Linked DNA regions of Rattus norvegicus. The protein of the gene in region 1 interacts with the protein of each later gene in a pairwise test. Links are inferred from orthologs where the notes say so. Each region holds a gene or a part of one and is shown in the gene's direction. Other genes may lie near its edges.

Region 1 (6,558 bases):
GTATACCCGATGATGTGAAACTGTGCCAGAGTAACTGTCTCACCGTGTTAGTCTGAAATGAATGAGTACAGTTTCCATCTCCAAATACTGGAACTCAGAGCTTGCACACGCTAGACAAGGGTTCTACCTGGGAGCGGTAGCCCGGTCCCCTAATCTCTCTTAATGTCAAAAATGAACACAGGATGTAAGCACTGGGGACGAAATAGAGGAAATACCTTCAGTGTGCATGCAATGTGGGAGCTGTCATAGGACTGAGTTGATAAATTATTTTTGCTTACATATTTCTTTTTGGCATTCCTAAAAAAAATCACTTTTACATATCTTTTTTTAAACTTTACGAGAAAGTGTATATCATTGCTTTCTGAGGCCGGATTTCATGTTTTCCAGCTGTGCTTGAAGTCTGCGTCCTCCCCAAGCCCCGTGACTCCAGGTGTCTGCTGTAAACAATCAGGGTTCTTTGTGGGACTTTGTTTTGTTTGTTTTCTTCTAACGGGGCCTCTGTGCAGCCCCTCGTTGCTCTGGAACTCACTCCATAAACTAGAGTAGCCTCGAACTTACAGAGATCCGCATGCCTCTGCCTCCTGAGTGCTGGGAACAGTCAGTTTGACAAGGAGTGGTTTCTAATGTTTGACGTCATTTCCGAAAGCATGCCGTTTAGACAAATTAGGACAAGAACACCTGCTCTGTTAATGAAGACCAAAAGGAGTAATGCAAAAGTTTCCTTCCAAATAATTTTATATATATATATATATATATATATATATATATATATATATACATATGTATATGCAAACTACTATATATACACATCCACTGACATATTTCCCCCTGATCAGTAATTTTTTTCTTACCGGGAATAATGCTTCACAATTTATCACCTCTTAAGGAGGAAGCTATTCGGTAATCAATATGAGGGTTCCGTTCTTAACCACTTCTGTCAGGAGGGGAGGTTCTGTAATCTTCAAAAAAACGTCCTATTGTAGTTTGTCATTGTGAGTGCCGTGCTTGCAAAGGCCAGAGGAGGGCGCTGGAGTCCCTTGGAGGGAGAGCTATGGGCAGCAATCGGCTGCCTGACGCGGTCACTGGGATCTGAACCCAGAACCTCTGGAAGAGCAACGTGTGCTCGAGACTGCTGAGCACTTCAGCCATAACATGTAAAATTTTAGTAGTTCTTATAACTCCTGGGCTTCCTGGGATTTTACCACTCTTTCTTATTTTTATAAAGCTACAAATACAAACTGAAAATTGACTAAACCAGTCCTGTTCATAATATCTACGTGGTACATATGTCCGAGTCTTGGCGTTGCTGCGTTAATCATTGGCACTTCTGAAAAACGTGTCTTTTTTAATGAGGTATATTTTCATGTGTCTTTACGAGTTGCCTCTAACTTTTTACTTACTAGCTCCAGTGTTAGCACGGAGAGTCTGGGAGCCCTACCCTGGCTGACTAGACAGCAAAGTGGTGTGCCTTAGCATTCACTAAGTTATCTCCTCAAAACTTAAAGAAATTTAAAACAAATTGGACCTCTTCTCTCCCTAAGATAAATTCTAAGTAAGCCTAGGGACATTTTGGGAAATACTCCCACTGATAAAACATTAAAGAAATATATATTCTATCTACCTCTTAAGTCGATCAACTCTAATGCGGGTGAGCAGTAAGGAGTCTCAGAAGTCACTCATGTTCTGAGGGAGACTTACAGAAGCTGAGATACCTAAGCCTTATGAAATTAGTCAAGACCTCAACATCTTTACAGACGTTTACTTCCTGCCTTAAAGCTGCGCGTTTTGATTTTCTGCTTGGAATGGGTTTGTATAATTCTCTTTAAATCTTCTTCTTCTTCTTCAGGGCGAGAAAATGAGCAGAAAACAAATAAAAAGACGCATGTAAGGAAAACGCCAAATACCAACCCGACCCCTAAGGAGCTGAGGACCAACCTGGAGAAGGAGCTGGGGAATAAACTGAGAAGCTTCGGGATCAGCGAGGTACGTCCCTCGTTTTCTGGACATTCGCTCCTTTAGATTCCACTTTCAAAATCAGGACACACAGAGAGAAGAACAGACTTCTTCACCCTGTCGGAATTCGGAGACTAAACGCTAAGATGACTCAGGTTAGCAGAGCCCTGCGTGACACTCGCTAGAACCTGGTGTGTGTCTAAGACCTCAACAAATCCAGACTTACTCATAGGCGGGGGAGTAGGACTCAGCGTCAATGTCATTATGACTTGTTTCAGAGGGAAACTGGGCTAGGTTCCCGCAGCTGGAGGAGCCCGAGGGTGCGTCTGGGTGCTGCATAGTATTCTGCGTCTTGCCTCCTCTGACGATGCTTCTCGTCTGTTTCGTGCGCGAGCAGTCTGGCCTGTATTTACTCTACTATAGCATCTAAACGCATTGGAGTTTTAACGCTCCTTTTGAGAGTGGCTGTGCCAGGTTCCTGTGTGACTCTGAACTACTACGCCTTTTCTGTGAGCATAGGCAATCAAGACAGGCATCATTTCCCTCTTGGAAGCATTTCTAGGAATGGCATTGCTGGGTGAAGAGGCAGCCGTGTTTAACGTCATAGCTGCAGCTGAATCGTTTTATCAAATGCGCCAATCTACGCTCCCTCTCAACGGGCAGAAGGGCTCAATCACTCCAGGTCTTCAGTCAGTTGTTAGTACCGTCAGTCTGTAATCTCCACATAGACTCTCTGTGGGGATTCTTAGCCCTGCTAAGGCCAGGGAAATCAGAGACATCTGTACAGTGTCACGGTTCCTATACAGACGCTCTTGAGACTAGATTTCTGTGCTTGCCGTTCCCATGGGTTTCCTGGGTTTTAATTTTGATCAGAGCCTCATTTATGGTTTTTCACCTAGTGCTTGGAAACATTTCTGCTTGTTTCCTCTGCGTGCATGTGTGCGTGTGTGAGTGCACATGTACACATATGCACTCACGTTGGTTCAGGATTAGATAAGTTTGACTCGATTTCCAGTTGATGGAGTTGATATCATTGCTTGTGTGACCCTGGTTTCCCCGTTCATTCGAAATCACGCTTCTGTCACGTGGAAACCCTTGCATGCGTCCAGATCTGCTTTGGACCTTCAGTGACTTTTCCTTGTTTAACTCTTCATTCACACTGACTTTCGAGTCAGCAGACTTCACTTCATTCACACTGACTTGACCATAGGAGCCTGGCCTTCCCCTGCCTTGATGGGCTGTGCTTGTGCAACGCTAGTGTTACTACTTCAAACGCTTGCCAGTTCCTATTGCTCTTTAGAAAGACACTCCCACTTCTGGATCAGCCATGTTTGGGACACTGGTGGAAACTATTCGAAATTCCGGGTGTTAATTAGGAAAGGCCGACAGCTGTATGACATCAGATCCTCCCCACTAACTACAAGGTGTAGGAAGGCAGACATTAACCCTGACGATTAAAGAAAGTGTAAGAAGTCCTTGACCCTCTGAAGAGACCAGAAGACATTGGGCAGATCAGAGGAACAGCGGAGGATAGAGGAAGCGTGGACATGACACTTCTCTGGTGACAGACACCTCCCTCCTGGGCCGTGTGGGGTCATGACAGGGAGCACAGAAGAGAGGGGAGGTGAAGGGAGACTGGGGAGAGGAAGTGCTCATGAGTGGGGCATTAGTGCAGAACCAACCCTGGAAGTAAGAGTACCTTCCCTTCTGCCTGCGTCCCCGTCAGCTACAGAGTCCCTCGGTCACCTCTGAATTCACACTAACATACTTCAGCTGTACAAGACACGCCCATAACTGCACAGCTCTCCTCTCTGCGGATGAGTGCCGAGCTCCAAGGTTGGCACTCAGTTTCTTCTCTTTGGTCTTGTCACACAAATCTTTATAGGGTGAGCCCGTGGGACATGTCTACTTCTATCCTGCTGTCCTGTCTTTCTCACAAGGCGTCCTCAGTTGCCACTGACTGACATGCTAATGCCAGTCTTCATGAGAGCGCAGCTGAGCGCCTGCCCAACCCCCTTCACCGTTCTCTGAAGGCCAGGGCCTCTGACAGCCTTTCTTCTTGGGATTCCTCTAGTCCTGGTGGCTTCACTTGCATTCTGTTGTGGCTTGACCAGCCATAGACAGGCACAGCTGTATTGCAAGCTCCTTTTAGAACCAGGAGAGTTTGTTATATGCTAGATCCCATACCGTAAATGACCCTGGACCCCAAAAGAGCAGAGTTACTGCTGACGTACGTCTACGGATGAGAAACCTCCAAGGTTGATGATAAGGGATTGACACAGTACCTTACTCCTTCAGAATATCCAAGGTATTCCATGCGAGATCTTGAATAGATCGCTTAAAGCCATGCAAGTAGCCAGACACGACCTAGCAAAACAGGTGCCCGACATTCAGCAAATTCGAGAAAACCTGGAGCATCAGCTGATCTGTAAAATGGGAGAGAGAGCATCACACTCTTCAGGTAAGCCCGCCGCTGCCGCCTGGCACTCCACAGCCACAAAGGAGAGCCAAGTTTGACAGCCTTTCCCACGTTTGTAGACTTTGGCACCGGCTGCTCTCTTACTGCCTGTACTTGAGATGCTGGGTCTGACTCCCACCTTGGGGTGGATGACTACCTGTAATCTTAGTGCTCAGGAGGTGAGGGCAGGTAGACCAGGAGTGATGCAAGGCCAGCCTGGGCTACAAGAGACCTGTCTCAAAAGAAAGGGGGGAAAATCAGTATAATGAAGCCCTTGTTCTGGACCCCAGACCTGAGAGGCGCCCTGTTCTTTTCCGTGACTTAGGGATAGTGTACGTTTAGTTAGACTTTACGCTTTACTGTAAAGGCAGCAGAGACTCACAAAGGATACTTCTCTTCCAGATAGGCGCCATGCCCCTCCCATGGCCTCCTTTCCACCCGAAGAAGTACCCAAAGCAACCCAGCTTCCCCCCAGAAGCAGACCGTTGGTCAGGCAGAAAACTATGTTCACTGATAAAGCGTCCGCCCCAAAGTGAGTATTTCCAACTGTAAGGAAAACAAAAACACTGCTTTGCCATAGCCGACTGAAGTCGCTGTAATCATACATCCTGGACTGGATCAGCAGAACAACAGGGATTTGTGTTGGAGGCTGGAAGTTCAGAATCAGAGTGTCAGAGGTCAAGTTCTGTCTCCAGAGCCATTGTGTCCTATGTCCTCACACGGGGAACAGGCTCTGGTCCCTTCGTCTTTCAGAGGCAGTGCCATGGTTACTTTTCAGTCGCTGTGACAAAGCACTATTACCAAAGCAACTTATAAAGAAAGCATTCGATTTGGGGCTCACGGGTCTGGAGAGCTAAGAGTCAAAGACCATCACAGAGGGCAGTATGGCGGCAGTATGGCGGCAGGCAGGCAGGCATGGCAGGCAGGCGTGGCTCTGGAGCTTTCACTGAGAGCTTTCTTACAGCCCAGCCCACAAGCACATGTGGAGAAAGCTAACCAAGAAGGGCTGGGTCATTGAAACCTCAAAGCCTGTCTCCAGTGACGCACCTCCTAATCTTCCCCCTTTGCCAACTGGGGACTAAGCGTTCAAATGTTTGAGCTCATGGGGGCCATTTTCACCCAAGCCACCACAGGTAGCAATGCCATCATGGGGAGCCAGCCCTCTGACTCCATTTGGCCCAGTTCCTTCCCAGATTCCTGCCCCTGGATGTCATGACACTACAAGTCAAGTGAGTGACTACAAGCCTTGAGTCTGCAGCGATGAACTAGACTCATCCCCAACTTCCTTGTAGTTTCTGATCGATGACCAAAGACAGTTTGTGTTTTCCCATACACATTTGTATTGACTATATCATTCCCTTGTCTACCTCCTTATTTATTTATTTATTTTTTTAGACTCAAGAAAAATACCAAAGAAAGTCATTTTCTCAGAAGGTTTCCAGCTACCAAGTGAGTACTGGGAGAGGTGCCAGGGTTGGGTGGGCCGGGTGTGAAGTTTTCGAGTGTTGCTCTCTTGGTGAAGTAGGGGCCCACTGCAGTTAAGGGAAGTCACGGTGCTTATTCATCAAGGTTACTTTTTGAGTCCCTCCTTTTGGTTGTTATTTGTGACTTCATTAATTACTACGTCACTCAGCTTTTCCACACAATGACATCCATTAACAAACAGGATCACCCCGAGTCATGCGGGTGCAGCCCCTCCCAGTGTAAGTGTCATGTCTTAATAAGCACGTTTAAGTAGGGGGGATGGTGTCTTGGTGTCAGCCGGTTCTGGCACTCTGTACTGGGGTTAAAGGCGTTGGAGACCATCCCTGGCTTAGGATCACTTTAAATGAGAACATATAAGAGGGGCCCGGCACTTGCAGGCATCCACTAACTTGCAGGGATTCTCCTGTTACTTCTTCTGAACAACACTCAGGGTTCAGTGCCATCGTTGCCTGAGTCCGAAGATATCAATACCGTGAAACCCCTCTTCCCTGGGTACCATGAAGCAGTGATAGATACCGTCTCATCTTTTCATGAGCATAACCTCACGGAGGGAGCTTTGCTTCATGGGGTGTGTGTGGCCAACCAACCCGCACGGGCAGATGTGGTATACAGAATTTAGACTTTCTACAACCTCCTTCAAGTGGACACTCTGAGCTTCTATT
Region 2 (7,352 bases), on another chromosome or scaffold:
TTTCTCCCTTCCCTCCCTCCCTCTCATATCCATTGTCTTTATTAGAAATACCATTTCCTTGCCTTGTAGACATTTACTCTCACTTGTGGGGGTGCTGCACATTGAACCCAGGGCCTTGTGTATGCTAACAAGTGCTCTACCTCTGGGCTAAAAGTCCAAACCTGCATACTTTAGGTGACTAGAGAAGTGTGACTTCTGACTTCTCTGACAACAATAGAGAGCTTATTAAAAACAGGCATCCAACTGTTTCTCCATATTTTCTGATATTCTACATCAGGTCCAGGAGTCTGCATTTCAAATAATAGCCTCAGTTCTTTTTGAAATAAGGAATTTTGTAACTACACTTTCAGAAGCTATTGAGAGCTGAAAATTGTATTGTTCAATAGTGCCTATCTATTTCAGTAGATGCTAAGAGCAGTTAAGTAACCCAGTTCCTGCTTTCTTGGTGCTTCTGAATCTTCAGAGGAGAAGGAGCACACTGCCATCTGGGGTGGCAGGTCCTGAGGATATGAATAATATATACAATCGGAACACTAAGGGAGACATCCACTCAGGGCAGATTATTGTGCATAGCTTCACAGAGGATAGGTGTCTAGCTGGGCTTGGAAGGTTCAACAAACGGGGATGAGGTGGATCATTTCAAGATGTTGGAACAACTCTAAGTATCAAGAAAGCATGATGACTTTGTGGGATAGTGTGCCTGAACTGGAAGAAGGGGGAGAAAGAAGAGGAGGAGAAGGAAAAGGAGGAGGAAGAGTAGGAGGTAGAGGATTAGAAGAAAAAGAGGATGAGGAAGAGCATATACACATGCCTGGCAAGTCAGGAGTCAGACTGAACTTGAACTCTATTCTGCAGGGACATAAGACAAAGAACTACATGTAACTAAGAAAAGCTGAGAACTGGAGAAGAGCACACTCATTGGTTATCGAATCCCAAATGGTCACCCCTGACACATACATGTACAAGTAACATTATAGGGATTGAGCAGGTCTTATTTATATACCTAGGAATATACCTATCTCTATATATACATACATAAACAACTAAAGAAAAAGAGACTATGAATTTGAGAGATGCAAGAATGGTGGTTTGGAGGGAAGGGGGAATGATCTAATTATATTATAATCTGGAAATATATGTAAAACTGGCCCTTTGAAAGGCCAGCTGGCAGTGATCTTCAAACCCCTGAATTATGATGGGTGGTTCATTTGCAAATTGTTAAAAGAAAAAAAAAGCTTTGAACATTGTGAGGTAGTCTGGATTGGATAAGAAAGGTCTTGAAGTTGCTGATGCAGTCTGACTGAGCCTCTTTGATGGAAAGAATGTATATAACTTTTTGTTTTTTATATTTAATTTTATATTAGAAATTTCATACAAGTATTTCTTGTACATCAAACATATTCCCCTTCCATTAATCCCTTTAATTCCCTTAGACAATTTCATGTCTACTTTCATTCTGCAAATTCTTGATTTAACATACCTATGTAAAATCTAGGAACCGCAAACAAGAGGAAACAAGATGTTTTTATGTTTTTGAGACTGGCTTAATCAGCCTAATATGATTATCTCCGGTTGGGCCTCTTTTCTTACAAATGATATAATTTTGCTCTTTATGGTGGGAAAATTCTGTATACACATCATATTTCCTTTTGCATTCCTCTGTTGTACACCTAGGTTGGCTATATAATTTAGCTAAGGGAATGTTTCGAGTGTGGGTCTAGAACTCTACTTTTGCATACTTCTCGATCCTCCTCGAACATCAGGCCAGTCTACTTCACCTCAGTTTTTATGTCAAAAGGAAAAGGTGTAAGACTTGCAGGAGAGACTGCAGAGACTATTGGAGAGGGGAGATCACTTACTGTTGAAGCTCATACGGATGCCCAAAGCTAACATGAGCAGTCCTTGGCTTTAAATATAAAACTTAGACGGAATCTCCTAGGAAGAGATCCCAAAACCCCAAATCAGCTAATCTGAACTTGGCTACAGATGACTGAAGGCTAAACTTGGGCTAAGTTCGAGACGGGAAACTTCTTTTCAGAGGGAGTAGACTTGCAGAGTTCTCTGAAGTGGTAGAAACGAGCTTGCCCAAACCCCACGCGAGATCAGCGCTCAGTGAACCGCGGCGCCGAGACCTTGGGAGCTACAAATGGATTCCCCAACCACCAATTACGCGGTTTAGGACCAGAGAGAACGAAGGCCCGCCCAGGAGCCTAGCACCGCGCTCCGATTGGACAAGCTCATTCCTCTCCCCGGGCTCTTTGGCCTGTCAATCACTCCGCTCTGACACGACCTCGGCCCCGCCCCCGCTCCACTGACGCAATGCCTGGCGTTCTTGGGCGCCCCGGCCCTCGCTTTAGGTCCTCATTGGTCCCCAGGACGCAGAGAGAAGGGGGGGACACTCTTCTGCTTTTTGAGCTGACTGTGTAGTTTCCCTCTCACTCGCTGTCTGGAGGACAATTAGAGTTGAAGCGTAGCGCCAGAGTACACGGAAGCCGACCGCGGCGCCGCGTTTCCCCTTTCTCCCTCCTGAGAGCTCTCCTTTACAGTTGTGACGCACAAGGCACCCCGCTCACTGACTTCACTTGCGATTGGTTGTGGCCCGCGTCTGTCACATAGCCCCCTCCCTCCTTCCCACCCAGCTATGGACTCTTGATAGACATCCGGGAGGCCACGCCCCCTCCCCGTCTGCCGCTTAGCTCTGCGATTGGTCGAGGGAACTGGCATGCTTTCCCGCCCCGGCCCCCTCCGGAGACTCGGGAGGCTAGTGGGACCCCGCGGAAGTTGTCAGTCAAACTCCTCCCTCCACCCCCCGCGAGGACCTCCCCCGGGCCGCGGGAGCGCGCACGCACGCGCACGGAGTCCCCCCTCGCCCGTACCAGCCACCCTCTCAAGTTGTAGCAGTTGCTACCCCGGGCGTGCTCCGTGGGCGGCCGGTGGGCGCGGGAGGCTGAGCGAGGGCGACTCTCCAAAGATCGGGGCGCGGGTGGCCGCCCCGGGCGATGAGGGGCCAGCGCTGACAGGAGAACGAGAGCTCGGCGGCAGCTCGCGCGGACCCGCGATGGAAGCGCCCCGGGAGGAGGCTCCCGGCCGGGCGGACGGCGCGGGCAGCAGCCGCTGAGGATCTGCCCGGGCTCGGCGCGCCAAGGGGCCGCGAGGCGCGCCCGGCGTCCGCACCCGCGCGCTCTCCCCAGCCGTCCAAACTTCGGGCTCGCCTCCGCCCGCCCTCGGCGCCGGGCGTCAGCAACTTGTGCGGCCCGCGCGCCCCCGCCCTCCCCTCCGCCAGCCCCGGGAGGTGGCCTCGCGGCGCGGGGATGCGGCTGTGAGGCGCTGTCGGGTGAGGAGCAGCTTGCGGAGCGCGAGGGCGGCGCGGCCGGGGCCCGGGACGCAGGGGCGCAGGCTCGCCGTGCCCGTCCCCGTGCCCCGCCGATTTCCCGGGCCAGTCGCCTCGGCAGGCGCCGAGCGCCCGGGTCGCCGAGATGTCGTCGCCGTCGCCGCCCGCACCAGTTGCCTGCGCCGCCATCTCGGCCTCGGAGAAAGTGGACGGCTTCACCCGGAAATCGGTGCGCAAGGCGCAGAGGCAGAAGCGCTCTCAGGGCTCGTCGCAGTTCCGCAGCCAGGGCAGCCAGGCGGAGCTGCACCCCCTGCCCCAGCTCAAAGGTAACCCCAGCTGCCCCTGCTCCGCGCTCCCGGAGCAAGCCCCACTCCCCTTCCCACCTGCGCGCTTGCCCCACCTGCCCTGCCTTGGCGACTCCAGGGTCGCCAGGTACCTGCGTTCCCTTTCGTCGTCCAGTCCCCCTACTCCCTACTCCGCTGAGCCTCGGCTCTGGTTTTCTCCACGCTTAGCTAGTTCATCACTTTCTCTACTTGTCCCTCAGTCGCCACATCCAGGGTCCGAACAAACTGCTGCCGAGTTAGCTGGCCTGTAGGTTTAGCTATACAGAACTAGCTTGAAACCGGGACCAAGTGACACCTTACAGTCTCGTTAGACGTAAATGTTATTTCATAGAAGACCTCGATTGTCTTTGGAGAGGTTATGAAGGAATCGTGTTTCTTTGTAGTGCAACGGGAACTTGGTTCGCACGGCTGTGCTTCCAAGGACTTTTGTAAGGTTTTGTAAGTAAATTCAAATTGGTATCCGTGCCTAATGCCTCGCAGGAATGCTTGGCACCCCTTTTGGCTTACTTACTTTTCCCACCACGTTTGGGGACTTTTCACGAGTTGTTTACTGGTTCTGGCTTATTCTTTGAGAATTACTATCTTTTGATTTACTAATTTCACATCCTTGCCTTTTATGAGCTAGATGTCATTAGTGGAAACGATAATCACGTTCCTAGATATTTAAGAAATTCTTGTAACCTGATAGAAACCTAGAGAATGATTTACAAGGCCAAGAAATTAAAGACTCATGCCAAAATAGATAAATGATCAGCAGATTTTTCAATTCGTTTGACAAAGATCCAGCATCCCTTTCAAGGCCAATCTGGTTGTGATTTGTCTTTGAGTCTATGAATCCTCACTTAGTTTGGCAAGGAGTGTAAAGAAAACCCTAGATCAAATCAACAGTTGACCAGCAAGAGCTTGGAACCCCATTTAGACTCTACATCTGCCTCTAGGGGTGCTTCTGAATCAAGGACGTACCACAGGGTAGACTCACACGGACTTTGGAAAATAGTTTATGTTTGGTGTGTGCTGTCTCGTTTGTTGATTGATTGCCCTTTAACATGCCAGAATTGTTCAAACTGATACAGCACAGTCAGTGGAGTGCAGCCAGAGCCGAAAAGTAACCCTGTCCTACCTATTAGGATAGTGAATTGCTATTCAGAGGTTTAAGCTTTTATACTTAAATTAAAAAGTTATTTTATTCTTTGATTGGTTTTAATTAGTTTATCGTGTTAATTTTAGTTCAAAAGTCTCGATACTAGCATTTTTTCATATGTATTTAATTTGCTAACGTGGTTTTCTTCTTAGTGTTGTACTTCTTAGTTCCTCTGATCTAATAATTGAATTTTGAACATCTGGTTAGTCTCAAGAGATGCCTCTGTGATAGATTTTGCCTTTAAGACTGGCAAATTCACAGATCAGTAATCAGATTCAAAGTTACATGATATTTGATTGAAGATGTAGCAGGTATGGCCAATGTTTTCAGGTATAGAATTTGGTCGGTAGTTAAAAAAAAAAAAAAATTGAAACCCTAGGTTAATTTCAGGCATTTGCATGTATAGTGTTCCTCATAAGGTACTATTCATGATAAGCTGGTGCAGATTCAATTGAGGAAGTACAACGTTTTACTTGAAAATAAAACCCTCAGTAGGAAAAACAGCTTTAAATTCAGTTGTCAAAAGGCTTGAAAAGTGTTTTGGGTTTTTTGTTTGGTTGTTTGGTTGGTTTGGTTTGGTTTTTGTTGTTTTTTTTTTTTTTTTTTTTAATTTAGTTGTTTTACTTGGTACTTTGGCAGTGCCCTTGATACCACCGTGTGGTGAGCTTTTTCTGTCAGTAGTATTTTCCCCCATTTGTGGGCTTAACAAAAACAACAGCAGAAAACCCTTTCGTATGAGAGAGAATTTCTCTTACTGCTCTGAAATACAATCTTACGGTGGAGTGATTCAGATATCTGTGGGCATCCAAGATCTTTCACGTATTTTATATCAGCCAACCTGCTTGCTTTATACTTTGTCCACATGGATCTAAACTGGAAGGGTGCCAAGTCGTTTTCTTAAAAGCAGACAGTGAGTAAGGATTAACAAAACAATCCAACCTTTTCAGTTTATTTTCGCAGAATCCTGTAGGTGAGTGGGTTGCTTGATTTAAAAATAAATAGTAATTCCTCCGAGGGCCAGAAAATGAAACCAGGTTCAGTATGTGGGAATCACTGTTTCTGATCTGAAACTTACGTTCATGTAGGTTTTTCTGCCTAACACTTATATGGTAATGAACAATTAGGGGACTTGTTTAAAAAAGGTAGCCTTTCAGTGTGTTTAGCCTAATTTGGCTTAATTTCTGAAAGGATTGGCTTGGTAAAATAGCTGGTCCTTTCCGTGTACGTACAGCTTAGTATTTCAAATAATTATCTTTGAGAACAAAACAAGAGCACATGAACCAGTATTGTCCATGACAACTGGAACAGCCTAAAACTGTATCATTGACACTTGTTATGTGCCTTTTAACCTACTATGGTAATGCTATTAGGCTGCTATCTGACAGTCTGGGGCTCAGTGTATTTTCACAAATATCTTTTTTTGAGGTTTAAATGGGTTAGTTTCGGACCTGTGGTTATCTGGATGGTGCTTTGTCCGACTTTGGGACTCTGGTCAAATGCCAGTAGTTTTGCTGTAAACTCATTTTACATAAACTTGAAGTGGTATGGTTGAGAAAGTCTGGCCAGGAGAGGTAGTCAGGGTGGAAAGTTTTTTTATCTTCCTGGGTTATTTTCCTTATCTCCCTGGATTGGAGGGATTAAATGAAATAATTTAAGTGCCTGTAATAAAGCTAGCCTCCATTCTCTTGTGTTTGAAATACAGATTAAAATATTTTTAAATGTAGAATTATTAATAGTACTTAAATAAAAGCTTTTCCGGAACATTACTTTTAATTATGCGTATGAGGTGCATGGGTACTGTTGTCTGTAGAGCTCAGGGGTGGTGGATGCCCTGGAGCAGGATGCCCGGGAGCTGGATGCCCTGGAGCAGGCTGATCTTACAGATGGTTGTGAACAGCTCTAACTTAGGTGCTGGGAATCGAACTGCAGTCCTCTGGGAGTAGTACATACTTCTAACCTTCTAACCATCTATCCAGCCTGTAGTAATAATTTCTTACCAAAAAAAGGAAGTTTGTCATTATGGCTATACAGACACATTTCTCTTAATAAACAGCAAAGAACAGAAACTGATTTTGAGATCGAACTCTTCTTAAGGCAGAGTGGCTGGAAAGGTGGCTCACTGGTTAAGAGCACTGGCTCTTCTTCCAGAGGACCTAGGTTCTGATCACAACCTCTCTAACAACAGTTCCAGAGGATCCAAAGCCCTCCTCTGATCTGTGAGGACACCAGGCACACAAGTGGTTCACAGACGAACACCCATATACAAATAAATAAGCAAACAAACGACGAACAAATTTTTAAAAAGATGAAGTAAAAAACTTGGAAAATCATCCAGTTTCATTGTTGATCTCTGAAGACTGAGACCGGAACATTAATGCTGACTGAAGAAGTAGCTTGAAGTAGCCTTCTTAGAATTAGGGGGAAATGTATGCTCTTGTTTTGTTGAGGTATGTGGTCTTCTGAGTGAATTGTGACAGAATTTTTTTTTTAAGTTGTTTTGATTTGGGGAGGGGCACTCCTCCCCTTCTCCCCCCCC

Evidence for each region.
Region 2: the proteins of Dzip1 (region 1) and Ppp2r5a interact in binary tests that used the Homo sapiens proteins (3 or more experiments, as listed by UniProt). The link is inferred for Rattus norvegicus from reciprocal best matches to the Homo sapiens genes DZIP1 and PPP2R5A.

Annotation. Positions count from the first base shown.
Region 1 is NC_086033.1:102,373,483-102,380,040, reverse strand, and holds part of Dzip1 (DAZ interacting zinc finger protein 1), read left to right. Parts: intron 1-1,846; coding exon 1,847-1,983; intron 1,984-4,251; coding exon 4,252-4,414; intron 4,415-4,813; coding exon 4,814-4,943; intron 4,944-5,806; coding exon 5,807-5,860; intron 5,861-6,558. UniProt on the Homo sapiens protein: Molecular adapter that recruits protein complexes required for cilium assembly and function to the cilium basal body.
Region 2 is NC_086031.1:105,502,715-105,510,066, reverse strand, and holds the start of Ppp2r5a (serine/threonine-protein phosphatase 2A 56 kDa regulatory subunit alpha isoform), read left to right. Parts: upstream 1-3,299; 5' UTR 3,300-3,476; coding exon 3,477-3,657; intron 3,658-7,352. UniProt on the Homo sapiens protein: The B regulatory subunit might modulate substrate selectivity and catalytic activity, and might also direct the localization of the catalytic enzyme to a particular subcellular compartment.